Tamandua tetradactyla: one gene and its partner. The protein of the gene in region 1 purifies or fractionates together with the protein of each later gene. This does not show direct contact. Links are inferred from orthologs where the notes say so. Each region holds a gene or a part of one and is shown on either strand. Other genes may lie near its edges. The genes, in order: BCCIP and EIF6.

Region 1 (15,470 bases):
TATGAGGGAACTGGGTTCCTATAGAATTCCAGGCCTGGGGATCCAGAGGGCCAGCTGCTTTTTGGCTCTTGAGGTCTACAAAATCCCTGTTATCCTTTTCACAAATTCCCCTTTCTGCTGAAGCTATCTGCATTTATATTAAGCATAAACAGGAGTTCTACCTATTTACCCACAAGAACCTTAACTAAACAAACCTATTCTTTTTCTTCTTCTCATCTTTTCACACTCCTCCCTGAAGTCTTTATAAGCACTTTCTAAAATCACGTTCTTTAAGATAGAATTTAACAAACAAGTATAACTACTGAATCATTACATTAATATTTCTTTTTGTTTCCAGGGTCTTAGAACAATGAGAATAACTAAAGTTGTGGAACCGTAACCCATACCATACTTTGAAATTTGTTCTATAACAATTTGTTAAAATGTACTTCAAAATGTATTGCTTTTTTGTATATATTTCACAATAAAAAATGATAAAAAAAATTATGTTCTTTAAGGCTTTAAGTAGCCCTGTTCATTTTCTTATTTACTTATATACCCTCTTATTTTAAAAGCGACCTGTAGTAGTTTTTGAATTTCCAAAATAATTCACATGGATTTCTACAGCAGGGAATGAAGTGTGGATGCATGATCCTCAAAAAATGAAGACCACTTTCAAATAAGCAAAGGAGTAAAAATCCACTAAATGTCAGCACAGGAAACTGCAGTAGATACAGTAGGTTTCTTCAGTCAAAAATGTAATGCTTTCAGTGGAAGCAAATTACAATGTTACTGCTGACTATAGACTCTAGCTTGCAATGATTGCATTTTTTCCTGTATATCATCCCATTTTCAACAACTTACAATGTTGACATTCATTTGTTCTCCTTCATGCAAAACATTCTTAAATTTGCACATTTAATCACCATCATTGTCCACTCTAGGCATACCTAAATTATACTGTTTCAGTCTTTATCTTCTATCTTTCCTTCTGGTGACGTATGGGCTGCCAGCCCTTCTCCCTCAACCAGTCACATTCAGCTTCACTCAGTGTACTTATATTATTGTGCTAGTCTCTGCACTTTTATCAAAAGTAAATCAGCCATATTCATGTGGGTGTCTCTGAACCCTATTTGGTTCTACTGATTTATGAGTATATCCCTTCATCAATACCATATTGTTTTATTATAGCCTTAAAGTATTTTTTAAAATTTGGTACCAGAGTCCTCCAACTTTGTTCTTTCTCAAAATTGTTTTGGCTACTCTAGATCCTTTATCTGTCCATACAAATTTTATAAGCTTGTCTGTATCACCAAAAAATGCTGCTGGAAATTTAATTGGAATTGTGTCAAATCTATATTTGGGAAGAAGTGACAGTTAGTTATATTGGGTCTTCTAATACATGAACATGGCATGTCTTAAAAAAAAAGTCATGCTTGTCAGTGGGGACAACCAATCAATAGGCTAAGCCCTCAATTTTGGGGTTTGCACCTATGAAACATTCCTACAAAGGAGAAGCTAAGCCTACTTATAATTATGCCTAAGAGTCAATCCCAGAGAATCTTTCCTGTTGCTTAGATGTAGCCTCTCTTTCTAAGTTAACTTGGCAGGTGAACTCATTGCCCTCTCCCTTACATGGTACATGACTCCCAGAGGTGTAAATCTCCCTGGCAATGTGGGACAGAACTCCTGGGACTTGCCAGGACCCAACACTACGGGATTGAGAAAGCCTTCTTGACCAAAGGGGAGAGAGAGAAATGAGACAAAATAAAGTTTGTGTGGCTGAGATTTCAGAGTCAAGAGGTTATCCTGGAGGTTATTCTTATGCATTGCGCTGGTTTGAAGGGACGTATGTCCCCTAGAAAAGCCATGTTTTAATCTAAATCCCATTTTGTAAAGGCAGAAAAATCCCTCTATTCAATACTGTGAATTTGAAACTGTGATCGGATCATCTTCCTGGAGATGTGATTAAATCAAGAGTGGTTGTTAAACTTGAATGGCGATTTGGAGAGAGCAGAGAATGCTGCAGCACTATGAAGCAGAGTCCACAAGCCAGTGACCTTTGGAGACAACAGAGGAAAACGCCTCCCGGGGAGCTTCATGAAACTGGAAGCCAGGGGAGAAAGCTAGCAGATGACACTGTGTTCGCCATGTGCGCTTCCAGCAGAGAGAGAAGCCCTGAAAGTGGTCGCCATGTGCCTTCTTCTCACTTGAGAGAGAAACCCTGAACTTCATCGGCCTTCTTGAACCAAGGAATCCTTCCCTGGCTGGATGCCTTTGATTGGACATTTCTATAGACTTGTTTTAATTGGTGCATTTTCTCAGCCTTAGAACTGTAAACTAGCAACTTATTAAATTCCCCTTTTTAAAAGCCATTCTGTTTCCGGTATATAGCTTTCCGGCAGCTAGTAAACTAGAACATGCATTATATAGATATCCCTTTTCAGTTTATGGTGTATTGGTGTGGCTGGAGGGAAGTAAGTGAAACTGCTGAGCTATGTTCCAATGGCCTTGATTCTTGAAGGCAATTACATAACAATATAGCTTTTAAAATGTGACCATGTGATTGTGAAAACTTTGTGTCTTATGCTCTTTTTATGCAGGGTATGGTCAGATGAGTAAAAAAATAAGGATAAAAAGTAAATAAATAATAGGAGGGAAGGGGTAAAAAAAAATGGGCAGACTGAAATACTGAGAGGGATAAGGGGTATGGGATGTATGAGTTTTTTCCAATTTTTCTTTTTATTTCTCTTTCTGGAGTGATGTATATGGTCTAAAAATGATGGTAGCAATGAATACAAAACTTTGTGGTGATACTGTGATCTACCGATTACATACCATATATGGACTCTATGTGTGTAAAGATTTCTCAACAGACACATTTTTTTAAAAATGTAATGTTTGCACAGATCTCAGACCTACCTGTAAAACGCAAAACTAGAAAGCTATACAACATCTAGAATATAACAAGGAGAAAATCTACTGCTTTTGTGCTTGGCAGTGATTTCTTAAAAACAAACGCAAAAGCACAATCCATGAAATAAAGAATCAATAAGTTGGACTTGATTAAAATTTTAAATTCTGTTCTGCAAAAGACACTACTAAAAGAAGAAAAAGACAACTAATGGACTGGGAGAAAATATCTGGAAAACACCTATTTGACAAAGAACTCTTACTACTACTTTCAAGAAGAAAACAACCCAATAAAAAATGGGCAAAGGAGGTAAGCAGACAGCTCACCAAAGATATACAGATGACAAATAAATATACGAAAAGATGTTCAACATCATGTATCATAAGATAATTGCAAATTAAAACAACAATGAGATAGTACTATATACCTGTTAAAGACTGGCTAAAATCCAAAACTCTGACTATATCAACTGCTGGCAAGGCTGTGGAGCAAGAGAAGTCTCATTCATTACTGGTGCAAATACAAAATGGCACAGCCCTTTGGAAGACAGTTTGGCATTTCTTATAAGGCTAAACATAAGCTTACCATATGACCCAGCAGTTGTAATCCTAGGCGTTTACCCAAATGAGTTGAAAACTTGTATCTATACAGAAACCTGCACACAAATGTTTATAGTAACTTTATTCATAATTGCCAAAAATTGGAAATAACCAAGATATCTGACAACAGGTGAATGGATAAGCAAACTTTCATACATCCATACGATGGAATATTATTTAGTGAAAAAAAGAAAAGACATGGAAGAACCTTAAATGCATTATGTTCAGTGAAAGAAGCCAGACTGAAAAGGCTACATACAATATGATTCCAACTATATGACATTCTGGCAAAGTAGAAAAGATAAAACTAGAGAGACAGTAAAAAGATCAGTGGTTGCCAAGGCTTTAGCAACAGGGCCAGGAGATAGGGCATTTTTAGGGCAGTGAAACTATTCTGCATTATATCCTAATGGTGGATACATGCTATGTCAAAACCCATAAAACTTTATAACACAGAGAGTGAACTATAATGTAAACTGTGGACTTTAGTTACTAATAATGTACTAGTATTGGTTCATCAATTGTAACAAATATAACACACTGATGAAGGATATTAACAACGGAAAATTCACACGGAGAAGGGAGGAAAAATGCTCTAAAAAATGCTCTAAAAATAAAGGTTTTTTTTAAAGTAATGCATGCCAATGATGAAATTACAAAATACTTTTGTCTTATTACCTACCCACCTCTACACACACTCTCCAGAGTATCCAAATGTCCATATACAAATGCTGTTGTAACCCAAAATCAGCAAAAGAACCAAAGTTCTGAGTGAAAAATGGTGAAACCACATTCATGACAAGGGGCCAAAGTAAAGAGCTGATTTGTACAGAAAGTTCTAGTCACCACAGTCTCAACCCCTAATCTAGAATCCACACTTTACATCCTCCTCCTCCATGCTCATTCCTTCTTAGCCCTTTCCTCCCCTGTACTTTGCATATCTCAGAATCTCCAAGTGAAAAATAATTACAACAGCTGTCAAGTATTCATCACCTACCAGGCACAATCGAAATGCTTCACATATCATCTCATTCATTTCTTACCATCATCCTGTCAGATAAGTTATTCCATTTTATTTATAAGGGAATAGACTCAGAAAGGATAATTTGGAAGAGATGTCATTCATTTAAAAAATATTTATTGAGTGACTACTATGTGCCAAGCACTGTATAGGTACTGAAGATACTGAAGTGAATAAGCGAGAAATCCTTGCCCTCCTAGACCTTAGTTTAGCACAGGAGACAGATAAATAAGCACATTAACACATAAATATATAATTGCAAGAAATGTTAGATCCTCAAGGACGAATAAAGCAGGATAAGAGGTAAGGGAAACAAATTATAGATAGGTGGTCAAGGAAGTCCTCTCTGGGGTCTTGATGTAGGATGAGGAAAAGGGAATAATTAAAGTTAACTCCAAAGCCTGGGGTTGGAACAACTGGTCAACTGGAGAGAGGGGAGGGTGGCATGAATTACATGTCCATTCAGGTCCATGTGTTACCTATTAGACATTCCCAAGGGTCAACCAGGCCTGCTCTCCATCCTAATTATTCGTTCAACAAATACTGACTTGGCACTATGATAGGAGTTATTTTGAAGAAATCTTTGAGAACACACAATCAAGGAATTTGACCTGGACTTGGGGAGGTCAGTTGCCCTGGGCAAGAAGAAAACACAGCTTAATGAGATGTGAACAGAGAAGGAAAACTGGGATGAAGGCACAGCATTTTAAAAGGCTCTGTGGTAGAACAAAGCAGGTAGCCTTTAAGAAATTTAGAGGCCAATGTTGCTGAAGCATACAAAGCGAGTGAGAGACAGGTGCTGGAGTGGTAAGTAGAATACAAACTCTGCAGGCCCTTGTTTGCCTTTTGAGGGCTGGGAACTTCAGCCTGAAAACTACAGAAGTCAGCGAAGACTGTCGTAGTGGCGGATTATTCTCTTGGGGTAGAGGGCGGACCCGCGCAGGGAGGACTGAAAATAATTACTGCGCCCGCAGCGGGAGAATAGACCCAAGTAGGACCTCAATGAGACTTTATCACCTCCAGATTCTGCTTACAGACCCCCAGGGATGAGGGGACTACTCCAAGCAGCTCACTCCATTTTCACACAGCTGTGAGTGCCAGAAAGTTTCTTCCCAGATGTCAACCAAACTGAGCTCACGTGTGCTTCTCACCTCGTCAACAACCTCGTCATGTTCATCGTCTTCTTCGTCACTGTCTTCATCCTCTTCCTCTTCTTCCTCATCCTCGACTTCCTCTTTCTCTTTTTCCTCGTCCCGCTGGGCCGGGGCCCCAGACGGTCGCGAGACCCCACATCCCAGCGCACGCCTCTTAGCCCTGGACGCCATGTTGTCGCCCTGCATACTGCGCCTGCGCGGCCGCCCCGCCTGACCTCTAGGACCGACCCACAAAGCCGAGGGGGTGGAAGACTAAGAAGAACCTCGACAGTGAGTCGACATCAACCCCAGGACGCTGCTTGGTCCACGGCCTTGACCTCGCAGAATCGAATATAGTTTGATATTTTATGTCAGCATTTTCCAACTCCATCCTGTCCCATCTTTCCCTATAAAGCTCTCCCGCCCCTTCGCGCAGTGGTACGACCCACTCTGGAGCGCCCCCCCACCTCGGACTTGGATTCACAACGCATGCGCGAGCTCTCAGCTGCGTGACCCTGGGTATTAGGTTCTGGCTGCTCCGGGGCCTTCCCCGGCTCGGAGCAGTGGCAATTCAGGAGACGTGTTGATGGGGGTGACCTCCCCTCTGTCATTGCCCCTGCAGCCTCAGCAGCCTCCTCCTTGGGACTGGGAGATGCACGCACCCTGACTGGGCACGATCCCATCTCTTAGCCTATTCGGGGCTTCCTGCCCGCAAGGTAGGTATCGCTGCCCACTTGTACCGACCAGGACATGGGGCCCGCAGGCCTGGAGGGACCCGCCCGTGGTCACTAGCGAGTAAGCGACAAAATCGGGATTGGCCTCTCCACACAGCTGTTTGCTGGAGGTGGGCCCTGGCCTGGGTGCGCTCTTGTGGAAGGTCATGGAATCCGAGCCTCGGGTGTCTGCCCCCCACAGCTCTGGCGCAGCCGATTGGTGATTGAATCGGATTCGAATCCCTGCCCCTCACTAACCCTCTTTCGGTGCATTTCCTTGACCTGACAGTTTTTTTAAAGCAGGAATCGCAACCATAAATGCTTCAGGCCGAGTGGGGTAATCTAAATTACAGCCCTGAGCCAGATTTGAGAGAATGGAGTGGAGAAGACTGCAGCAGGGTCTAGGGTATCTCCCCATTGGACGGTGGCAGCTGCTGCTCACCTGCAACCAGCTGCTGCCATATGGACCCAGTCCTGTCAGATAGTTCCATTTTCGGAGAAGCTGGGTTTCTGAATTTTTACAGGAGCTATTTTGATTTTTTTTTTTTTTTTTTTTCATGGGCAGGCACCGGGAAACGAACCCGGGTCTCTGGCATGGCAAGCAAGAACTCTGCCTGCTGAACCACGATGATCTACCCTATCTTGGTTTTTAAAGCTGAGCCAAATAAAGTCCATTTACCAATCAGGTTTATCCCACAGGCTACCAGTTTGCAGCCCATTTTAAAATAGTTCTTTAGAAAACACATCAGCTTTCTGAGAAAGAAGTCAATGGCTCTCCATTTTTTTCTCTGTAAAATGAGGAGAACGGGTTAGATCTGTGTGATTATTAAAATGGAATGCTGAGATAGAGAGGTTGGCATGGCTGAGAGATTGAATCAAAAACTTTGTGACCTTTTCTCAGTAATTATTCATCAGCAGGAGATAAAGTTAGAATATCTTAAAGGTCCCCATTAGCTCAGAATTCCCATGATTGTGTTCTCCAAAGTTCCATCTTTCCTGAGACTCTCTTGTCTTGGCCACAACATGGATGTTAGTGTACTTTACCCAGATTTAAGTGTTGGTATCATGCCCCCCAGAACTAAGAGAATAAATCCCTGCCCCTTTAAGTCACTCAGTTTGTGGGAATTTGGCATGGCAGCCCCAGGAAACTAACATACCCCTTCTCAGCAAAGCTTTTTCCCAAAATCCAAAGTGGGATAACTTAGCTTGTTCAAGCTGAAGGCATAAGTCTGCTGGAGATGGATCACGTCCATATGGAAATTCCTTTCTTCCTGCACTTCTCTGTGACCAAGTTGAAAGAACACTCTCTCCTCTAAAGAGTTCCTGCTACCTGTGTTGCAGTAAAAACGGGAAAGAAGCAAGGATCAGAAGGAAACTAGCAGGGTCTGCTCAGGCTTTCAGATGTGGAGGGTCATAGGTGAGCCAAGTTATCCCACTTTGGACTTTGGGAGAAAGCTTTGCTGAGAAGGGGTATGTTAGTTTCCTGGGGCTGCCATGACAAATTCCCACAAACTAGGTGACTTAAAACAGCAGAGGTTTATTCTCTCAGTTCTGGAGGCATGATACTAAAATCAAGATGTTAGCAGAGGCATGCTCCCTCTAAAGGCTTTAGAGAAGAATCCTTCCTTCCCTCTTCGTAGCTTCTGGTGGTTCCTGGCAATTCTTGGCATTCCTTGGGTTGTAGCTTCATCATTCCCATCTCTGCCTCTATTGTCACATGGCCTCTTTCCCTGTATTTCTGTGTCCAAATCTCTCTTCTTTTTTCTCTTGTAAGTCATCAGCCATTGAATTGAGAGTGCCCCCCACCCCCAAACCCAGGATGATTTCATCTCGAAATCCTTAATTAATTATATCTGCAAAGACTATTTTCCAAATAAGGTCACATTCTAAGGTTTTGGTTGGGCATATATTTTGGTGGCACTATTCAGTCTACCACCAGGAGTTTGTTCCAGTTTTTGTAAAAATCCCTTGCCTACCCTAAATCCTAGAGTTTTCTAGACACTGGACAATAAAAGCATCTCAGCTGGCTTCACACATTTTCAACCTATTCAGCATGCATCTGATACTGTAATGAACTCATTTACTATACTATCTGCCCCCAATTTCTTGAAAAGAAATTAGTCTCCTCATGTCTAGTCCGGTGCCTTTTCCATTCCTCTGAGCTGTAAGACAGAATGTTTTTTGAGCATCCATAGCTGTTAGAAATAAGATGACTCTATAATTTATTGTCTAAATCAAGATATTTTTGAGAGAGAAAGTGGGTACTGTTAACAATTAAACCATATGTTAACTGATGTAAACAACAGATGTAAACTGAGACTGTCCCAGGCAAACTAGGATACATGGTCACCCCAACTATAAGGTAAAAAGTCTAGCATACCCTCACCAACCCTGCCCCAAGATAGAAGAATGAGGGAAGATCCCTTTTAAAGTTAAATCACAAGGACCCAGTGTGGAGGGAAATTAATAAGAAAAAGTAATTAAGATGTAATCCCAAGCGACAAGCATCATAGTTGATTGAAAATGCCATGCTAACTCGGTGCTCATTCAAATGGATGATTGTCCACGTCCTCTCAGAAGTCTTTGGATGGAGTAACTGGCCTGAGCTGATCATACAGAACTGCACAGAAACCCCAGAGAACCAGGTCCTAGTACTAGCTCTGCCTCGGCTACCTGTGTCCATGCGGGTCCCCTTGTCTCTGTTAACCTCAGTTTCCCCTGTTAGAAAAATAAGAGTACTGGCTGTGCCGGGAACACACAGAAGTAATTTTTCTTAGGAGACAGCAGTCCTCTGACAGCCCCAAAAATCAGTTCACTTTCGTGAGAGTTACAACCGATTTCGTTGTGGTATTGCACATTCTAGGTTGACTGTGCTTTCTCTGTGTGCCCAAGAATCAGAGATGGCGTGGGTAAGAAGTCACAATGAGGAGGCTTCTGTGTTCCTCTTCTTAATTGTTGCCCGCTTTGGAGATGGTGGGAATGTGAGTTTCTTGAGTATGAAAGACACTGTACTGAGCTCTAAAAATACTTTCTGCCCCCATTGGCCAGTCCTCCCCCTTGGCTATTTCCTTCACTGAGGGTAGTCCTCTTGTCTAGTCCCTTGGCCTGGGCTTTGAAGGGCCTTCTGGGACCCTCTGTGTCTCTTTGAGGAGGTGTCTGTTGACCTTTCTCTGAGCTCTTTGGACCTGGCCCTGAGCTGAACGTGCCCAGTAGTTCAGAGAATAGTCCCAATTATGGAAAGAAAAATCTATTCTCAAAGCATTTTAAACTTCAAAATTTAAATCACTAAGAAGAGTAGTAATGTGACTAGCAGTGATGTGCTTATCAATTGATTTCTTTCTCAGTGCGCCTGATAATATGGGTCTCGGGTACAGCAAAGATGCTCAATAATGGTTCTTCCTCATTTTCCCTCAGAGAGGTTGTCAACAACAGCAAAGAAGCCACGAGGGTAGTAATTCAATTTTTATTTTCCAATGCTAGAGCACATCTAATGGAATCTTTTAGCAGTTATTATGAGCTTCTTCACATTCACATCATTTTCATTACCTAAGAGAGCCATAGATTAGAACCCAGAAGAAACGTTTTCCCAGTTTACAGTCGGTAGGCTGATTTTGCTTTCATGGGTTTGCACTATTCAACTAAGTAAGCACTTTGTGTTGTGGTAATACTTGATATCTTCACGCCTGTGTGTTTTCCCGAACACTTGTATCCAAGCATGTGAGAGGCAGCATAGCGTCAGGGTTGAGGGCGCAGACTTTGGAGGCGAACTGCCTGGGTGAATGAACCCAGCTCTGCCACTTCTTAGTTCTGAGACTTTGGCTGACTTTAATTCTTGATATACCTCAGTGTTCTCATCCATAAAGTGGGATAAACCTCATAGACTCAATGAGATTTTTGAAAAGCACTCAGAACTGTGTGTCACATGTGGTAAGTACTGGGTAAGCATCACTGTTATTATCACCTCCTTTCAGTCACTTAACAGCCCTGTGGCTTGATAGAGCAGAAAACAAGATTACCCCATGAGTAAGTAATGATGCTGGGACCTTTGGTCCTGTATTTGTGCTGTGGCATCACGCTTCCCCAGTAGAGAATGAGGAAGAGAAAAGGGCAAGCAGAAATGAGAAAAGGGGAGAAGAAATAAATCCGTCAACTTGAAGCTAGTAACTTTAGTAAGGTAAATCAAATGTCTTCCTCTGAGTGCCAGCAGCCCACAAATCCTGCCCTGCCTGCCTTTCACCCTTCCCCCTCACTTCCCCCTCAAATATTCCAGCTGTTCTAGACAATTCTCTTCTTCAGAGCTCCTGCAGTGTGCTACTTCCACTCAGTCTTCATTTAAATGTAATTTCTTCCAGGAAGATTTTCTTAGTCTAAGTCTTGGTATTAGGATATGGGTTTGGCAACTCTTAGCAGAGATCAAGATTAATGAGATCCAAATTAATAAGTGCCAAAATAGGACAGCATTTAATTTTTCTTTGATGTGAAGGCCCTGGCTGGTGAGATGTACTTTTGAGAGAATGACCCTTGGTATTTGAAAACATTGCTAGACCATCCCTTGGAAAAGTGTCTGGGGTTCTGTATCCCAGAGCCCAGGCCCATGGCAGGGACCTGGTAAGGGTGAGAAAACATGTGTGCCCACAGGGCTGCCTGCTGCCAACAGTGTGATGTTTCAGCTTTTTCATCCCCAGAAGGAATTGTTCTTTAGCAGAAATTCCAAGTTTTACCTGCCACTCAATGTCATGCCAGATACTTGCAGACCCAAAACTGAAAGGTTTTTCAGTCAGCATTTAGCCAGAGAAACAGCCAGAGGTAATGTACAGTAAGAGAGTGATTCCAGGGAACTGGCTTACACGACTGTAGGGGGGCTGGCTAGGCAAGCCTGAAATATGTTGGACAAGCCAGCAGGAAGGGCTGCTGCCCACAGATAGAATTTCTTCCCCATCAGGAAAGCCTCAGTTTTGCTCTTAAGGCCTTTCAAGGGATTGAATCAGGCTCACCTAGAATGTCTATGGTAATATCCCATTCTTGGTCAACTAACTGATTAACCACTTCTACAAAATACCTCCCAGCAAACTCTTAGATTATAGTTGTGGATAACTGGAAACTATAGCCTAGCCAAGCTGACACCTAAAACTGACCATGGCAGAAGGGTTGGGTCACAATTTCTGTAAGAAACACATTTTGAGTAACCTCAGGAAATGATAGAAATGATACTGTCCATTTCTCCAAGTCTCCAATCTCTAGCTAACAGCTCAATAACTGCAATAATTAGAACTTGATTTCATAATCATTAGTTGTTCACCCAGGTTTGGTTGCTTAAAAAGCAGTTCATTATGTGCTTGTACAAAAGAGTATATAAGTTCAAGGTATGGGGGAAAACTAATGCATGCTATGGGCTATGCTTAATAGGAAAACATCGACAGTACTGCAGCAGTAACAGGGGTACATAATGGGGGGAGAGTTTTGGATTTTCTGTTGGGTGAGGGCATGTTTACTGGTTATCTTTCCCTTGGGAACAATGAAATCATCTAAAATTGAGAGTGTTGATGGACTGTTGGCTTTGGACATTGTACATGAGGCCCAGTAAATGAAGGTGTCTGTTCTAGTTTGCTAGCTGCCGGAATGCAACACACCAGAGACGGATTGGCTTTTAATAAAAGGGAATTTATTTTGTTGGTTCTTCAGAGGAAAGGCAGCTAACTTTTCACTGAGGTTCTTTCTTATGTGGAAGGCACAAGATGGTCTCTGCTGGTCTTCTCTCCAGGCCCCTGGGTTCCAACAACTTTCCCCGGGGTGACTTCTTTCTGCATCTCCAAAGGCCTGGGCTGAGCTGCTAGTGCTGAGATGAGGAATGCTGAGCTGCTTAGCAGTGCTACGTTGCAATCTCCCATTTAAGCACCAGCCAATTAAGTCAAACGTCACTCATTGCAGCAGACACGCCTCCTAGCTGACTGCAGATGTAATTGGCAACAGATGAGGTTCACGCACCACTGGCTTATGTCCGCAGCAGCAAGACTAGGTATGCTCACCTGGCCAAGTTGACAACTGAATCTAACTAACACAGTGTCTGAGTAGATTGGCTAACAATGGTGTGTACATGTAATTGAATATTGTGCTGCTGCAAAAAGAAATGAAGTTGTGAAGCACGCAACAATGTGAATGAACCTGTGGGACATTTGTGGAGGCAAACTAAGCCAGAAACAAAAGAGTAAATGTTGTATGATCTAATTTATAAAACACTTATAAGAAAACTGGGGCCTAGAGGATAAACTCTTATAACAGTCACATTTAGTCCAGAGAGGTAACTGTTATTTCTGGATTTTGAGAAGCTGCTTTATATATGTCTAAGCTGGTATTTAGAGATAAGAACGAAGCCAGTAAGATTGGGATTAAGGTAATTCAAAATACAGGGCTAAGGGAGACATTGTCTGTATTTTAGAACTTCACCTACTCTTTGAGACCAAAGGAAGAAAGGTTTATTTTGTCCAGAACCTAAATTTTTTGTAGCACATAATCTAACTCAACACATCTGGATAGATCATTTAAACAATCCAAACGCAGGAAGCACAGAGTAAGAATGAGCACCTTTAATCCTGTACCTTAATCCTGATACCTTAATGTAATGCCTAGATACATCCCAGAGTGTATTAAGCAGATAATCAGAAACTATTGGCAAAGTCCCTTGAGAGATAGGAGAAAAATTATGGACCTATTAAACTTTACGACTAGGAAAACCCAGGATACTGTGTCAAACATTAAGGACACCCAAATCAATAGGCCAAGCCCTTGATCTTGAGGCTTACTGTTGTGAAGCTTATGTATGTAGTGGAGAAGCTTAGCCTACCTATAGATATTCCTAAAAGGACCTCTTTTAAACTCATGTGTGGCCTCGCTCTCTCTAAGCCCAACTCTATCACCCTACCCCCTACATACGACATAACATCCAGAGGTGAAAATCTCCCTGGCGGCATGGGAGATGACTCCCAGGGATGAACCTGGCCCTGACTCTGTGGGATCAACAATGCCATCCTGACCAAAAGGGGGGAAAGAAGTGTAACAAATAAGGTTATCAGTGGCTGAGAGAGTTCAAATAGAGTTGAGAGACTACTCTGGAGGTCACTCTTACACAAGCTTCAGTTAGACATTGCTACCTATCATAACTTGCCAAACCACAACCAAAGCCATTCCTGCCAATCCTAAAGAATACCTAGGGCATTGTATAAGATTCTACAAAGGCTCCATGCACTAGGGAAACTTTCTAGAAACCTACAACCTCCTGATGGGTCCCTGAACCAGGTAAGTCCTGAAATGCAGAGGGGCCAGCCTCTCCAGAACATCACCTAGTTCCATCCCCCTATCCCATATTATTGACAGCCCCTTCCAACATGAAAAAGTTAGAATGGGCATAATCCAAATACCCCTAAAGAGTGGGTGAAAGATGAAAGTTGATGGTGCAGTTATGCAGAGAAGGTAGGGTTTAGCAAACGAGTATGATTGCTGAGTCATTATGTTATTTCTTTTAGTCTCCAGTACCATAGAGCAACTAGAAGTAAAAACCTAAAGTTTTGGAATTGTAACCCATACCAAACTCTGAAATCTTTTCTACAACTAATTCTTGCGATGTATTTTGAATGTTTTTGCTTTTTTGAATATGTTATCACAAAAAAGAAAAAAAAAGGAGTGTAATAGAGGTGATAGGATTTAATAAATGAGTATGACTGCTGAATCATTATATTGATATTTCTTTTGGTCTCCAGTGTCTTGGAGCAGCTAGAAGAAAAAGCAAAGAACTGTGGAACTGTAACCCATACCAAACTTTAAAATCTACTCTATAACTACTTAAAATGTACTTGGAAATGTATTGCTTTTTTGTATATGTTATATTTCACAACTGAAAAAAAAGTTTTTAAAAAAGTAAGTTCATTTTGGGCCAGATTTTCCAAAGATGTCCCATGGATATATGTAATACTCCAGAAATATCTTCATATTAATTTATAAGTAATGGTTTCCTAAGTTAAATTTCTGCTCCAAATAATAAAGTCCATTTGAGTATTATCAACTCTTGTGTAGTATTTATTTGGAGGGTCTACTACTATTTACAGATGATAATCTATGCTTCTTGTAGAGTTTATTCTGTAGTTCCTTACCAAAACTAATTTTGAGGCCTTTCGTAGTGGTTACAATGCACTATTCTTCCCTTTATATAAGAAGAACAGAATGTTCACTGTAAAAAATTGGGAGATAATAAAGAAGGAAATAATCATTCTAACTTGCCACCATGAAATAATCAAATGGTCGCTATTAATATTTTGGTGCATAGATACGCACATACTATGCAGTTCTGGGTTTTTCTTTTTTGCATTTAATGTTATTTTATAATCCCTTTTCTATGTAATTAACTTATTTATGAATACAAAGGATTTCAAAAAACTGTGGTATGATTTATTTAACTATTTTCCCATTGGTCCCAGTTATTTGCAATTGTAAATAATGCCAAGAGAAACATTTTTATGTTAACTTTTTGTACACATTTATGAGTATTGCTTTAACATTCATTCTTAGACGTGAACTTACAAAGAGAAAGGGTATGAATGGCATAAGGCTTTTGATATATATTGACAAATCATTTTCCAAGTTGTTAGAAATTTTTTGGAAAATTATCTGAAGATATTTGACAACAGTAATAAGCTTCTTTGGGAAATAGAAGCGTCAATATAATTAGTTCCTTCAGTATTAATGTGCTGCTTAGTATATTTATCTTGAAATAGAAATATTTATCTCCTTAAAATGTAGGTTACCATTTCTCTATTTGTTATCCATACGATCCAGAGTTTGCAGCATTTCTCTTCTGAGAGCCATAGTTGTTGGGCGTAGTACATGTGGCTTTAACTGGTAACTCTACTCCACCTTTCCAAGAGATATCAAGTTCCAGCAGGCTCTCCCTTGGCCTTATCAGTGGGTCTTCAGAAGGAACAAGCTTATTAAAGCTCGGTCATCCTGTACACGGGTTAGGTCACATCAGCAAACCATCCATTATCCTCTTCCAAGCTTGCTTAGGAAGAGTCTTGTAGGTCGAATTAAGATCTCTTTCCCTTCTCTGTCTCAGAACCCTAA
Region 2 (15,724 bases), on another chromosome or scaffold:
GCACCCTAGATAAAACCAGTGGGTTCAGCAATGCCTGCTGCTCTCTGTCAAAGCCAGAGGTGGTGACAGGCAGCCCTCAGGGTGCTGGCAGGGTCTCAGATGCTTCCCTTGCCCTCTGAACCTACATGGGCCTTGCCCCGCCCCATGGCCTCTGGCTGTGGGCCCGCTTACCCTGTAGCACAGAGACTCCTGCTGTCTTGGGAGCTGTCTCAAGCAAAATCTTTCTTGTCCCAGAGGAGCTATGTGGGTCCACTGTGTCCCTTGTCATCATTCTTCTGTTTGTTCTCATTTTGGCCAAGGGCGGGCTCCCTGGGGCAGCGGGGAACGACTGCAGAGATATTAGCAATTCATAGGTTTGTACAGTGTTTTATATTTTGCAAAGCACTTTATTAGCTCACATCCATCCATCCCCATGAAATGTGCATAGGCCCTGGGAGGCTGAGGGTGGCTTTCATCATGCCCTTCCCTTGGATACAGTGCAGAGAGGTTCTGTTACTTGCCCAGGCCATCCAGTGAGCTGCCTGGGCCTCGGGTCCTCACCTGTGGACCCCTCTAGGGTCCAAGATGAGATCAGAGGTGTCTCCTCTATCTGTCTCCTTCTACTTCTGCCCACCTCCCCCATTCCCTCTCCACTCCTCAGGTTGGTGCTCTCACTTCTTAAAGGCTCTTGGCCTCCCAGGCTCCTCCCTGTTGGCTCCTGGCACCATATAGGCTAGCTGAGAAAGAGCAGGAGATGGAGGCAGGCAGCCCAGGCTGCAGATGTGAGGGATGCAAGGCCAGGTCCAGGAAGGGCTCAGCCTGGAGGCTTCCAATCTCTGGCTCTCCTGCCTTGTGGTCATCTGTTTGTCCATCACCCCAGGACAGGGCAGACAGAGGGGCAAAGCACATGAGGCCTCAGAGCCCAGCTTCCCCTCAGCCTGGGGGACATCACAGCATTTCAGTGTCAGTCACATTTTAAACTGATCAGCCTTTGTATAATGTTTTTTAAATCATTTCTAAATAAAACAAAAATACAGAACATTTCATTTTCCTGGAGTGTGGAGACAAGGGTGAAGTTCTGATGTTGGCTTCAGGATGCTTCTAGGAGCAGTGGGGTATGATGTGCTTTGGGGTGGACTGGAGCTGCCTCACACATCCCTGCCAGACAAGCATCAGAAATGTTCTCTGTCTCCAAAAGGCTAGCCTTGGGGGCCCACTGTTACCGGGGTCCTGGGAGTACAGCATCACCGGAATCCTGGAAAGGTCTTCTCTTAGGTCACAGCACATGGTACCATGAAACACAGGCACTGACCCAGTTCTCAGCAATTACGGGATGAAGGTGAGGTCAGCAGCCATGGGTTCTTAGCAGAAGTCTTGGCCTGATTCAGGGAGTAGAGGTTCCATCTTCAGCCATTGGCAGCAGGAACTGCAGACTTGAAATTGGTCTGCCCCAGGATCCAGAAAACCGGAGAGAGGGATGGGGTGAGGACGGAGGTCTCACCTAGGTTTGGGTTCAGGCTGGAAAAAATAACACTTTCGGGGTTGGGAGAATGGCCAGAGATGAGACGATGACCCTGGCGAGGCTGGGAAGTCGGCCCTCCGAATTCTGTCCTTTCCAAGATGCCGGGGATGGGGTTGGGGGTAAGACAGACGCAAGGACGTGGGAAGAGACGAAAGCCAGATGAGGAGGCCGCGGCTGGGCGAGCGGGCGGGTGTGCGGGCTGCATACTCCGGAGGTACCGAGTCAGTACCAGGACGTGCAGGTGATGAGGAAGCGAACGTCATCCAGAGGGCCCCACGGGCTGGGCTCGGGCTCGGGCCGCCTAGGGTCCTCCGGAGCCGTGGGCTGGGGCTGCACTGGCTCCGGGCGGCCCTGGCCGCCGCTCAGCAGCGCCCCCATGGTCTGCGGGAGGAGAGAGCCTGCAGGTCTGGGCTCGGCCGCAGCGTCTCGGGGGACCCGCCCTCACCTCAAGCAGTCGGGACTGCGGTTCACGGGGACCTCTCCGGGAAGCGCCGGGCTCCGCTCTCTCGCGGGTTGGCCGAGGAGTGGGCGTCATGACGTCGCGCGCACGGTCCTCACCCACAGCTACGCGTCACAGCCCCGACTGCCAGCAACCGGCCAATCCCGCCCCAGCTCCCCGAGGCCCGCCCCCCTGGTCGCTGAGACCTGACTGCGAGGCCGGCAACTCCCTTCCAACTTAGGTGGAGAGGACAAGGCTGCCCCGTAGCCTGGTTCTCAGAGCCTGCAGAGGATCCTCAAAACGGCCCAGGGGAAAAGTGCCGCAGATTCTCTTCCACTGAAGCCGAGAAAGCCAAGGTTGCAGTTGGGTGGAAAATGCGATAACTACAGTGGCAAAGTGCTGCTTCCTCTTGCCCTGGGGTGAGGCTCCAGGTCGTGGGGGTGGAGAAGTGGAACAGAGGGGTATATGTGTACATCCTACTTCACCCTCTCAGGACCCTGGAACAACAGACTCAGACTGAGGCTCCCAAACAACACATTTCAGAATAGCCAGAGGCAGCTGCCCTTTAATGGGTGGCACAAGACAGCAGAGCCCTCAGCCAAGAGCCACAGGACCTGACAGCCAGCACAATATGGCAGGTTTTTACAGTAAGTATAAACTCAGGAGACAGGCACAGGTCAAGAAACACTGGGCACCCAGCCACGCAGTTCCTCCCAGTGAGCTCTCTGCCATCTCCATGCCAGCATCTGGTAACAAACTGGGTGGGGCCTGGAGAGGGAGCGAAAGTCCAGAGGCAGGAGCCCATAGAGCAGCACAGGTGACTCAGGTGAGGCTGAAGAGAGAAGGAACACTGTCAGTAGCTGCTTCAGGGGGCACACCCCACCCTCTATTCTCAAGGTACTTGACTCCACCCTTACCCCTAGATCAAGAGCTACACTGGGAGCACAACTGGCCCATCCAGATTCCAGGCTTGAATGCATCCTGAGTCACTCTTCCAGTCTAGAACTATCAATGCTCAAAGACTGAAAGTAACACCCTCCCCACCCAAATGGGTCAATTCACTCAATAATTTATTCAAACTATTATCTGTTATAAGCTAGGGCCTCCGAGGACAAGCCCTTCCCCTACCTCAGAAAGCAAAGTGAAAACCCCCACTCTGGCAGAAGAGTAGAGAGGCCCCGGGTACCTGTCAATGAGGGAATCGCGCATGCTGGTGGCAATGGTGCTAGGCTGGGCTTCATTCAGTTTGAAGACGCTCTCCACCACTGACAGCTCTGTGCTGGTTGTGTCCAGGCCACAGAAGGCACACCAGTCATTCACCACCATCCCAGCAGCAATCACCTCGCTGCCTCGGTTCACAGTGCCTGCCTGCAAGAGATGGGCTCAAATGGGTCATGGCACCAACAGCCAAGTCTCTCCTCTCCGACCCAAAGCCCAATCCCAAAATGTGGCAGGTAATGGCCAATGGGCAAAGGAATCTGCCTCAGCAGGAGACAGGGTCAGAGAACTGGAATGCTTACCACAAGGGGAACCTGAAGGAGAGAGGACAGCTCATCCTGATCTTCAATTGAAGTTTTAGGATGCACCAGGCCTCCCTGATTGCTGAAGACAGAGTAGCTTCCTACTAGCACCTGGTCAGCCACTGTCTGCCTGAAGACTTCCACCTTGAGCACATCAGCCAGGATTTCTTCTGTCTCCTGTCAGTAAAGGTACTATAGTCAGGGCCCAGAACTTATAGGCCAAAGACCCAGGGGTGCTCCAAGCCCAGAATGATCCAGGGTTTAGCACCCTGAATCTCTCATTCCTCTGCTATTTAGCTGTGTTTGAAGCATCACCCAGAGAAAGGAAAGGGTACAGCTTAAAGAAGAGTCTAGGTCAGCTATGGCACCTCTAATAGCCATGTATACTCCGAACAGCCAGTGACACGTCTCCACAGCCACCCTGTTACCTCTACCCCACACCCAAGGATTCAACAACTGTCAATCACCTATCCTGACCTGTAGAACAGGATGAGGTCACTCTTCTAGGTCCCCAGTTCTAAAGAGTTACTATCCTCCCCACCTTCTTTCTGACAGTGATGGCACCAGTGAAGGCCTCTGTACATTGTTAATAATACTACGAGTGCCTAGTAGTAAGCTAACATGAGCCCAGATACAAAGAGAAGCCATAAGAGATGCCCCTAATTCCCACCTGATAAGCAAGAACAGTGGCTAACTACTAAGTAGGATGACCCGTGATTCTCTGGCCAAGTTAGCTGCCTCACCCTGTCCAGATCTGGGTGGACCAAGGCCACATAGTCGTTGCAGGTGGTGACATTGCCCAGGGCCGAGAGTCGCTCCTCTACCCGCCGGATCTGCACTGAGTCTGGGAGGCAGTTGCGAATGTGCTGTAGCTCCTGGTCAGTGGTATTGTTGGGCACCAGGAGACCATGTCTGTTCCCTGGAGGGACCCAAATTGGGGGATGGGACAAGGATGGACAATAAATACACAAGATGTCCACTGAGCCAAATCAACTTCTCTAGGAAAGCTTTAAGGCCCAGACCCTTGTCCTCCAATTCACTGATCCATATAACCCTCAGGGAGACCAGAAGTCCCAGTGGGCAGGCAAGCAATGGCTGAGGAGCATGTCCCAACCCACCTTGTCCATTCCCTATCATTAACCAAGAGGGAGAAGAACTAGCAGAAAGGAGTCTTTTGTATATTTTGCTACTTTAAATTATAATACAATGTGATGGAGTGTAAACTGGTCACTTAAAATAATTATCTGATATCATCCACTATGGTTGAAGATTCACATACCCTGCCACCCATAAATTTGACCCCTAGGGATAGATATACCAAATAAAATATATACATATGTTCATTAAAAAACATAGTAGTACCATTCATAATAACCAAAATTTAAAACTACCAAAATGCCTATTGTCAACAGAACAGATAATAAATACATTGTGGTAAACTTAAATAAAATGTACTATGCAGCAAATAATTATGTGGTAACGACAATGGCTAAATCTCTGCCTATATCTAGAAGGCCACAATTCTGAACTTCTGAAGCCTAAAAAACACTCAGGGCCAGGATAAATTCCCCTGTACATCAGAATTTGCTTCAAGACCTAAAGTCATGGTTAGGGATCAGGGTATTTTGCCTGAATAAGAAAATACTCAGAGGCCAGAGTGACCAGGCTTAAGGTTTAAAAAAAAAAGGGGGGGGGGGGAATACACTGCTGTTGATCTCAGTGGGCAGAGCTAGAAACAAGGGGTAGCAGTAAAGGGAGACAGATTCAACTCAGAGAAAGAACCAATGGTCAGAGTCAACATTGCTAAGAGGTAGGCAGCAGGGAAAGAGGCCACTCAGAAATGTCCTACAGGAATTTAAGATCTCAAAGGATAACTGGTCAGCATGACCCTGAATCTCAGTTTTTCATTTTATTCGAGGAGGAAATGGATGCTTGTAAAGAAGTAGCAACTTAGCCAGAGTCAGAAGGAAGAGAAAAAAGATTCCACTAGGTGTGGAATTTGGTGAGTCACTTAAGACTGTGGGAGTCTGTGGGAGTCTCAGTTCTTTATCAATCCAATTAGGCCAATAATTTCTCCTACCTCCCAGGGTCTTTGGGAAGAAAGAATGAGATCAGGCATGTAAGTGAAAACTCTTATCAGAAAACTACCATCCAGAAGCCTTTGAAAGAGGTTGCCCTGATAACTGTGGGCGCTCAGACTGGGTCCTTCCCAGCCTTGAGTATCTAGAGATTCTGAAGTTCCCAGAGATAACCGAAGAAAGACTGGAAATCCCTAGGTCACTCTGGGTCCACTCCAGGGCTATAATTAGAGATGCTGGGAAGCTCCACTTCCTTGGCGTCCTCCACCGGCCTTACCCACACACATGCGCCCGATGATACGACAGCCGGCGATTGATGCGTGCACCACGGGGATCGTATCGGCGAGCTCGCCCTCGAACACACTGTGGGGACATGGACTCGGTGGTCACGGGGCTGACGGGCTGATGTCCTCCCTCCTCCGAAGGAGTCCCTGGCTCCCAGCATCCCTCCCCACCACCCACCCACCCACTACTCTCGGGGCGCAGGGTTCTCGCGGCACCTGTAGAAGTTCTCTGAACCTCCGATGGCCACCAGGCAGTAAGTGTTGGTAAGTTTGGCAAAGCAGCCGATCTCACAGTTGTTCTCGAACGACGCTCGGACCGCCATGAAGCCTGAAACCTGAGAGATCGGGAATTGAGAGGCGGCCGATCTTCCCCTGGCCCTGACACCCCGACCCCGGCCCCTCAGACCCGCTGCGACCCCGCCCCTCTCGGCCTCAGAACACCCCAAGCTCGGCCTCTCAAACCTCCGGCCCCGTCCCCTGAACCCGTCCAGACTCTCCGGCTCTGAGTCTTCCAGTCCCCACCCATCGCAAACCGGAATGCCCAGAGTTGACCCTCTCGGCCTCCCCTCGCGGAAACTCACCGACTAACCGTACCCTCCACACGCGGCGATAATCCCTTCTTCTACCGAAATAGGTTTCCGCTTCCGTCCCGGAGCTGGAAGACTCTCGGGAAAGCCGGACGCGCCCTGCCACGCATGCGGCCACTCTAGCTTCGGCCTCCGGGAGGCCTCTATGGTTGCAAATTGTCAGTAGTGACTCCTCCTGGCCCCGCCCCCAGCTTGTTTGCATGTCCTCCTTCGTTCAGGTGCTTTTTAGGAGGGACTGCCTACCTCAGACCTGCTGCTGGTCGGATCTCAGGCAAGAGGCCGAGGAGGAGTCGGGGATGGCTCGTAGAAGAAAATAGGTTGCTGATGGTGCTGTTTTACTGAAATAAGGCAGGAGGAGGAAGAGCAGGTCTGGGGGAAGGCGAGGAGGCCAACTCTGCCATACTGAGTGGGAGGCGGCGGATAAATGTGCAGATAGTAGGAGGATGGCCGGGTCTGGAGCCCAGGAAACCGTGAGGGGCTGAGGAATGAGATTTATTACTGAAGTCTGGGGTGAATGGGGACCCTAGAGAGAGGAGTTCTGTAGGGAAGGGCGAGACCGGCACAAAAAAAGGCTGGAGAAGGAGGAATCCGGGCTGAAGAGAAGGGAAAGATGGATGAAGGAGATTAGGAGGAAATTGGAGGGAGAGGGATCCAGGGTGGGCAAGGGTTTGGGAGCTCAAGGGCTTAACCATATGCCCCTCCTACTTGAGGCATAAGTACTTATCATTCATTCGCAGCCACCTTTGATCCTCAAAATAGATGGTGGTAGCTAAGGACCACTCTTATGGGGCTTGAGGATGTGGTGATCTGGTGTCCTGGACTGCCGTCCTGAACAGAAGAATTTTGCAGAACTTGACAGAATCTGCAAAAGTCCCAAGGTCTCTCAGTCACAGAGAGGGAGAGGGGGCTTGGAGCCCCTTACCTCCACCTAGCCCTCCTGCAGCCATCCACTTGCCTCCAGGGAGTTCTCCCAAACTGGCCTGAATTGTTCCCTCCCCCTGCCCCCAGTATGCAGTACAATAACTCCACATTCCTCAGGATAAGCCAGGCTGGTGCTGGGTCATAGCCATGTCTGTATTTATTGATTTGTATTATGTGGCCTGTCTCAGGCAGTGGGTAAGCTCAGGAAGAGGGCCATAGCCCATCACAGCCTATGCTTTAGGAGACACACAGCAAGATGATGATGATGTGTGTATGTTGCATGTGTATATGTGTGCACAGGGATGTGTGTGTGTATTCCTTCACTCTATCTTCTTCAGTTTATCTCAGACCCCCTCATCAGACCTAGCCTTGAGCCTCTCCTTACCTGGTTTCCTCTACCAGAAATCCTTCCTACTCTCTCCGTCTGCCAAATCCTCCCCATTTTTCAAGGCCTGGCTCAAATGCCACCTCCTCTAAGAAACCTTCCTTAACATCCTCTCTACACCCTTAAATCTCTACTATCCTTTGACACCAATTAGCCTTTAATTAGATACAGCTCTGCTCTGTTCTCCAGTGGTTTGTGCATTCAATCCTTATCTCCCAGGGTCTAAGTCTGATTCATTTATTGGCCCTATGGCATGCCCAGCACAGGACTGGGACTATAGCTTAGATTCAAGAAGTTACGGGGGGGGGTGGGGGGGTGGGGGGTGGGTCATGTGCATGCTATGGTCTGTCAATCCTAAGGGGCTCTATAGTGTGCACTCAACACACGTGTTTCAAGTAGCCATTCATTTAACCAAGTGAAATTTACTGTACCTACAACTAGACTTCTGAGTGTTTTGGTTTATCACACTGATCTGCGTGTGTTTATTGACTGCATGTGTCTCTGGGTGTGCTGTTTGTGCGTACGTATCCTATCGGTGTGTTGTGTGTGTTATATAGGTACTTGGGACCTCTCTGTGATGTATTTTGTGTGCATGGACATATGAATTGTGAGTATTGTGTGCCATGTTTGTATAAAACACATAATCTTTACAGTCGCTGAGGCACAAGTTTGGACCCTCCTCTGCCATTTACTTGGAGCTCATTCCAAGCAAGCCATACAAACTCTGGTCTTCACCTTCCACAGGTATAAAATAGGGAGGATAATCCTATTGGCCTATCATTATTATATGTACAGGGGCCCACCTTGTAGGATGTTATGAGGATGACTGATGAGAAAAGGTAACTGTTGTCAAGAGCCCAACACAGCAGCAAATGATAGATGCTCAATAACTGTGGGTTCCATTTCCCCATGTGTGTGTGTGTGTGTGTGTGTAAATGAGCACACATTCTGAGCCCAGGGAGGTCTGATCTGCACTCCTAGAATCCCTGCCCTCCTCATGTAGCCGCTACCCAGAGCTCCCACCCCAGAGTTCAGAATCTCAGCGGATGAAGGAGGGACCTGTCTCACTGAGAGTGGGGCTAGGACTCAAAGCGGCTTCGGAGCAGCTTAAACTTGGACTTGTTGTACTTGGTGATAAGGTCCAGTTTGCTGTGGCCCAGGGTCAGGCGTTTCTCACCCCCATACACGTCTTTGCTACCACTGTTGTGGTGGCCACCTGTGGGACTCCCAGGAAGGCCAGGCTCTGTCCTCTGCCTGGTTCCCTGAAATTGGTGATACTTGGTGATGAGGTCCAGCTTGCTGTGGCCCAGAGTCATCTGCTTCTCATCCCCAGACCCCACCCCAGCCTTGTGAGTGGGTCTTGGTCCAGGGAGACCGTTGGGCCCAAGCCCCTCACGCCAGAATGGGCCAGACTTTGCAATAAGGTCCAGCTGGCTGTGGCCCAGGATCTGCTGCTGCTCATCCAGGCCCTGCTTGCCAGGCCTGGCTGGGGAGCTGGCCTCAGGGGGCACTCTAGAGCCCAGAGCCTTTGGGTATGGCACCAGGAGGTCCAAATGGCTGTGGCTATGGCTTAGGGACAGCTTCTTGTCCTCTGAGGCCTGATCACGAGTTCTGGAGGAGGCTATCTCAGGGGTGCCCCTGGCACCCTGGGCCCGGGACAGGAGGTCCAGCTGGCTGTAGTTCTGGCTTGGGGACATCTTCCTGTCTTCTGGAGCCTGCTCACCAGGCCAATGGGAGCCTGAGTTGGCGGAAACCTCAGAGTCAGGGCCTCCTGCTTCTTGAGCTGTGGGGAGGGCGGCCAAGAGATCCTGCTGGCCATGGCTCTGACTCAGAGATGTCCTTCTCTCCTCCATCATCTCCAGGCCTGTACCAGGTATCCACCGACCTCTTGGGGGGCTAGGCTCCTGGGAAGCCAGGAGCCCATTCTCTGGGAGCCGGGGCAGGACTGTGCCCCCTCGTGAGATGGGGAGGTGAGGGTGTGAGTGGGGAAGTAGAGGTGACCCCACTGCCAGGATGAGGGGACTGGCACTATTATGGTTGAGGGCAGGAGAGGACTGGGACCAGGGAGACGCCCCGAGCTTGCCCAGGTTGGCCTTATAGGGCCCACGTGGGGAGCTGTGATTAGGGTCTGACAACTGACGTTGCTGGGAGGGCTGGCCACTGTCCTCGTGGTGGGCAGGGTTTAGGGACGAGGACGCCAGACCCATGTCATTGCAGCCAGTAACTCCTGGTAGCGCAAGGTAGGAGGAGTGGCCCGTGAGAGGTGAGCGTTTGATGCTGCTGAGGCTGGTGCTAGAGGGCAAAGAGGACGTGGGACTGGGGATGCCAGGCCCGAAGGCCAGGGTGACAGGGGGAGGGCGTGGTGCCCAGGGAGAGAGTGGATCCTCCCCACTGCAGAAGCCTTCCACGGGCCGTGACTCAGCATACAGACAGCGGAACTCCCGATCAAAGTCTTCTACGATGCGGCCCCTCAGCTGTAGCACCATGCTAGTGTGGGCCTGGCTGCAAAGCCACGTGAAGCTGGGGGCAGAAGGTCAGGATCAGGGCCAGGTGGTGTGCTGGTTTGAAACTGATATGTACCCCAGAAAAGCCATGTTCCTCTACTCCTGACTCAATATTGTAGGGTGGAACCTGACTGGCAGGTGCCACCCTTTGATTAGACACACCCAATTGTGGGTGTGACCTTTTGATTGGATTGTTTCCATGGAGATGTGACACACCCAGATGTGGGTGTAGCCTTTCAATTAGATGGAGGTGTGACTCCACCCATTCAAGGTGAGTCTTGATTAGTTTACTGGAATCCTTTATAAGGGGAAACATTTTGGAGAAAGCCCAGAGCTGACATGGATGCAAACATCTGGAGATGCTCTGAGCACTGACAGAGATCAGATACTTAGACATGGATGTTTGGAGATGCAGAGCCCAGCAGACATCACCACGTGCCTTCCCATGAGATGCTAAGCAAACCAGAACCCAGAGTTTTGCCCTGGAGAAGCTAAGTGAAGGTGCACAGACACTTAGAGAGGAACCCACTGGAATCAGAAGCTGGAAGCAACAGAACCAGGAACAAGGACCAGCAGATGCCAGCCAGGTGCATTCCCATATGACAGACATCGGTCTTTCTTGAGTCAAGGTATCTTTTTCTGGACATCTTAGTGTGGACGTTTTTATGGCCTTAGAACTGTAAACCTATAACTTAATAAATCCCCTTTGTAAAAGCCAACCCATTTCTGGTATATTGCATTCTGGCAGCATTAGCAAACTGAAACAGGTGGCAAGGGCAGGCCCCAGAGGCATACCAGAATATTGGATCAAAATGACCAGGAAAGCTCTATGGTGAAGGGGACAGAGCTCTAACTCTGAGCTAGTCCTAGCTCTGCTGAATGCACTTGGGCAAGTGGTTACCCATCCTGGGGCTTCAATTTCCCCATCTGTAATAGGGACCAGAGGTGAGGTTCCCTGAAGTCCTCGTAGTTCTGATGTGAAATAGTTATTTTCTATGCGAAGAGCATTAAAGTAATCCTTTCATTAGAATGTGCTCCTTGAGAGCACAGCCTGGGCTGTCTTACTCCCCACCCCATCTCTTTGAGCCCTGTTCAATGCCTGGCACACTGTAGGGGCACAGTACACTTTAGAAGGGATGGATAAATAAAGGAAAGTTCAAGGTGACCAGATCTGAGATGCCCCCACCACCCATGACACTGCTCCAGACCCCCTCTGTTCATTCCGTTTTCTCACCTGTAGCTGCCTGCCACCACCTGCTCACAGTCAATGATGACAAATTTCTCCAGGGCCTTCCCAGTGAAGCGGCGGCCAGCCTTGCTGCAGTAGGTGACCCCACATGTGCTCCGCACACGCATGTTCTGGACCAAGGAGGGAGGGAGGTTGGGACCTTGAGAGATTTGGGCTCAAGCCTTCTCTGCCCCATGGGGTCTCTGACCCAAAACAGCTAAGAGAACCCAGACCCTACCCTCAATGACCCCAGTGCCCTCCGACCACCCAGCTGACTTCTGCTGTCTCTGACCTCCCCATCCCTGGTTCCTGCTCCTGCTCCTCACTGACCGGCAGGTGCCCCCCATTGAGGTCCATCTTGTAGCACATCTCCAGGAAGTGCCTCAGGTGTTCCTGGGCCAGAAGTAGGTAGACAGGGACACCGCGCCGGCTCGAGGCCTCCATGAGGTCACACAGAAGCTCCATGTCGGTGAATATGTCCATTGCCACAGCCACAACCTGGGAGAGGGGAGGGAGCTCAGCCCTGCCCAGGGCACTGCCCACATCCAGTGCAGGACAGGGACTGAGAGCCCAGGAAAATAACCTTGAACTAAAATCAGGAGGTCAGAGTCTGTGAACTGGAAGGGCCTTTAGCAATGACCTAGTCTAGGGGTTGTTAACTTGGGCTCAGGGAGTTTTGACTGTCTTAAAGCTCCAGAAGTTCTTTGAAAGTTTTTGTGTGCACTTTTCTGGGGACAGAGTATTTCTCTGTCATCAGTTCTCAAGGATGTCTGAATAAACTGCACTAGTCTAAAGCCCCACTCTACAGATGGGAAACACTGAGGTCCAGAGTAGGGAAGGAGTCAGAAGCAGAGGCCAGACCCCCTGGTTCCCAGTCCAGCTCTTTGCATTCTCCCTGCTAGCTCTAGCCCTAGCTCTGGCCCAGGGATTGTCTGTCTGCCTGAGACCTCCCCCTCAATGGTCAGAACTGTTTCTGGGGTCCTCAAAGCCCTTTGCAGCCCTCCCCCAGGTTTCCCTGTGAAGCTGCAGATGTCTGGCATGACACCTTACACTCATGGATTCCCTCACTTCCACCCACAACAAGAGAAACCAAGTTTTCTGTTCAGTCAGGGGCTTGGACTAGTATGTCCTTTCTATAAACAGGCTGCTTCAGATAAGTCAAGAAAACCCTCCAGCATCCCCAAGACCCCAACTGCCACTTCTTCCCATTGCATGTATCTGCTTGTCAGAATTTCTTCTCCCAGTTGGGCTGAGAATTGGGAGATGCAGAGCAAAGCACTCTGGCTCTGGAGGCAGACAAAATTGGATTCGAATGTGGACTCTGCTCTTCCTGGTGATACGGCCTTGGGCAAGATGCTCACCTCTGGGGGCCTCAACTTCCTCATCTGTGAAATGGAGCTAATAATAGCTATGTCTCAGAGTTATGAGATTTAAACGTGGAAATGCTCCACACACAACAGAAGCTCAGTAAATGTTCCTTTCCTGTTGCCTTCTTAACAAATGAGGACATTGGACTGCAAGGCAGGGGAAGTGCTTTGCAAAGGCACTTGAAGAGTCAGTGACAGAGCTCAGAAGCCTGGCTCCTGACCAAGGGATGGAGAGGTCCAGATGGGGGTGAGGAGGCAAGGCGATGGGAGATGCCCAAGATCCATAGCCCAGGCCTGGGCAGGGGTTGGGGGAACGAGGACAGGCAGGAGAGATCAAAGGGGTAGGGGTGATGATGACAGCAATAGCAACCACCTCACTAATAACCCCATTCCTGATGCCAATCAGGCCTGGCTCTCCCTTGCTTGGGGCACCGGGAGGCTCTGGCAAAGACACCACTGGGACTCGGGTAACCTGGCTCCAAATTTCTACAGCAGAAGTCTCCTGGGCTGCATCCCAGACCCTACCTTAACTCCTGCCAGGGGTCATCTTATTCATTCCCCTTCTCCTGAGTCACAGAGGTCTGGGCTCCAGCGGCAAAGCTATGTGAGTCTGTGGCTGGAGCCTTCCCAGGTACTGACCATCCATCCCTACCTGAAGACATCAAGCCTCTAGCCCTCCTTGTTTTCTTTCTCCTGAGCCCCCTAATCCCCTTCTTTGAGCCCAGCAGCCTCCATTCCTGTTTACCTGCCAGTGCACAGCTAAAAGCTCAGCCCTCAAGCCCAGGCCAAGGCCCTTGCACCAAAGCCCCCTTCCCCACTCCAGCCCCAGCTGGAGATATTGTGCATGAGGGGCCCACGGGGGTGTGGGCCAGGAAACAGGGCCATATCAAGGGCTCTCGTCTCTTTCTGAGCCCAGAGCGCTATCTCACCAACTGACTGGACCTCCCTAGGCAAGGCCCAGCCTCTCTCGGGCCTCATCCTCCTCTGTAAGTTGGGGACAGCTCAGATGTTCTTTAATGTTGGGGTTCTTAGTTTTGGGGTCATAAGCTCTTTAAGAAGTTCATGAAGGCCATGGACTCCTTCCTAAGAGAGATGCCAAGAGGACTTAGCTTTGCATGCATTTTCAGGGGTTTCACGGAGTCCCTGAGGCCCATCCCCTGTTCTATCCATAAATTTTCTTGAGGGCCAAATACACACCCACCCTCTAGAAGCTTATTATCTAGTAGGGGCCAGAGGTTCTAGTCCCCATTCTGCCCCCAAATTGCTGTGTGGCCTTAGGCTGTTCCCTTTCCCTCCCTGGACCTCAGTTTCCACATCCATGGCACAAGTGTCTGAAGACATGAGGCCCTTACCGTGCGGGCCTGGCTGAAGAGGAAACGTAGCAGGTCCTTTATGTTCTTGGCCTTGTCCCGTTGGAAGTGGACCACGGCCTGGGTGGGGCTGAAGCCCGTGGCCTGTGGCACCTCGGGCCAGCCCAGGTCCAGGTCCGGGGGGTCAAAGTCAGAGGCCATGGGGAAGTAAGTGCCTGAGGTGACCTCGGAGAGCAGGCTGAGGTGGTCAGGCCCTGAGGCCTCCGTCCCTTGAGCCTCACTGAGCTCGGGGCCCCCGCGCACATGGCTTGTCATATAGTCCATGTCCAGGGCACTCAGGAAGGGCAGCTCCCGCTCCTCAGAGATGACACGCAAATAGGCCGCTTCACCCCGCTCCAGCAGGGCGTCTGCTGCCAGCCGGGCGGCCTCGCTGTGCCGCAGCACCAGAGGGGAGGACTCCCGCCACCATGGCCGCTTCAGCTCCTCTACCCGGCCCCGCAGGGGTCCTGCCACGGCCTGGGCTCCCAGGCCCCCGGGCCCTAAGCCTCCGTACATGCCTGCCCACCTGGCTGCCCTCAGCCGCCCAAAGCCCCCATGGGGTGCACCTCAGGCTGGCTGTGGCAGGAAGAAGACAGCAGAACTGCCTCCTGCCTGCTGGCCCGCCCCGTGTGTGTGTCCGGTCCCCCAACCCGCTGCCACCCTAAGTCAAAGCCAGGCTCCACCCCATTGCCTCTGGCCTCTGGAACCTGTTGGGTCAGCCCCGCCTGTCTGCCCACTGTTGGGACTTGCCCACCCAGGGAAGGGCGGTGTCGGGCCTTAGCACACACCCCCGGCACCCAGCATCTCCAGCCCCATCACACCAGGCTCCTAGCAAGGCCCCTCCTACCCCCACCTTCTAAGGTCCCCGTGGAGGCTGGATTAGGGTCCAGAGGGGCCCAGGCCTGCTCAGGAACACACACAGACACACCCAGGGTGTCTGAAGGACTCAAGGCACCAAGATAAAGACATGAACACACAAGCAGGCATGCTGACATACATCCTGACACTGACAGCTGCAGACACAGAGATAGAATGCATGCTGCCATACACAGACTCACATACACTGACCCAAATACTCTTATGACCAAGTGAGACTGGCCATAACCCCAAAGGATGCCACACAGATGCCACAAGCCTCCACACACCCTGCACACCAGCACTGAATAAAGGCTGAATGGAGCATTGGTCCTCTCTTCTTTGCTCCCATGACCACCCTGTACTCCTTAACACCTTTGTGATTTTCAGACCCCTGGCCCACCCCACCCACCCCCATCTCTAAGCCCTCCATCCCAGGGCCCAGAGTAGCAAACTTACACCTTAGTCCATGAGAATGACCTAAGAAGTGTTAAGATGCAGATCCCCAGGTGCCACAGCTACCCCTCCCCCCACCCCACAGGATGTTGTTTCAGAAGGTCTGGGGTGGGCCTCTGGAGTTGGCCTTTTCCACAAGTGCCCCAGTGCCCTGGAGGGAGTGCCCACCCCTTCAGAAATGCTGCTCCAGATGGCTGGGTTTCCCATATCCTCAACTCTGGGGTTGCTTTCCTCCATTTTCAGGGGCTGA

Evidence for each region.
Region 2: the proteins of BCCIP (region 1) and EIF6 purify together in Homo sapiens (affinity purification with mass spectrometry; 3 studies listed by BioGRID and IntAct, counting the BioPlex papers as one, with this or other methods). This does not show direct contact. The link is inferred for Tamandua tetradactyla from reciprocal best matches to the Homo sapiens genes BCCIP and EIF6.

What each region holds. Positions count from the first base shown.
Region 1 is NC_135339.1:88,370,236-88,385,705, reverse strand, and holds the start of BCCIP (BRCA2 and CDKN1A-interacting protein), read right to left. Parts: upstream 5,855-15,470; 5' UTR 5,854-5,854; coding exon 5,665-5,853; intron 1-5,664. UniProt on the Homo sapiens protein: During interphase, required for microtubule organizing and anchoring activities. During mitosis, required for the organization and stabilization of the spindle pole.
Region 2 is NC_135327.1:17,250,055-17,265,778, reverse strand, and holds EIF6 (eukaryotic translation initiation factor 6), read right to left. Parts: upstream 6,532-15,724; 5' UTR 6,404-6,531; intron 6,394-6,403; exon of another isoform or gene 6,285-6,393; intron 6,158-6,284; 5' UTR 6,146-6,157; coding exon 6,039-6,145; intron 5,902-6,038; coding exon 5,816-5,901; intron 4,380-5,815; coding exon 4,204-4,379; intron 3,638-4,203; coding exon 3,461-3,637; intron 3,309-3,460; coding exon 3,127-3,308; intron 2,773-3,126; coding exon 2,763-2,772; 3' UTR 2,478-2,762; downstream 1-2,477. Other genes in the region: protein FAM83C, read right to left, coding at 8,795-10,235, 11,454-11,578, 11,778-11,945, 14,167-14,679. UniProt on the Homo sapiens protein: Binds to the 60S ribosomal subunit and prevents its association with the 40S ribosomal subunit to form the 80S initiation complex in the cytoplasm. Behaves as a stimulatory translation initiation factor downstream insulin/growth factors.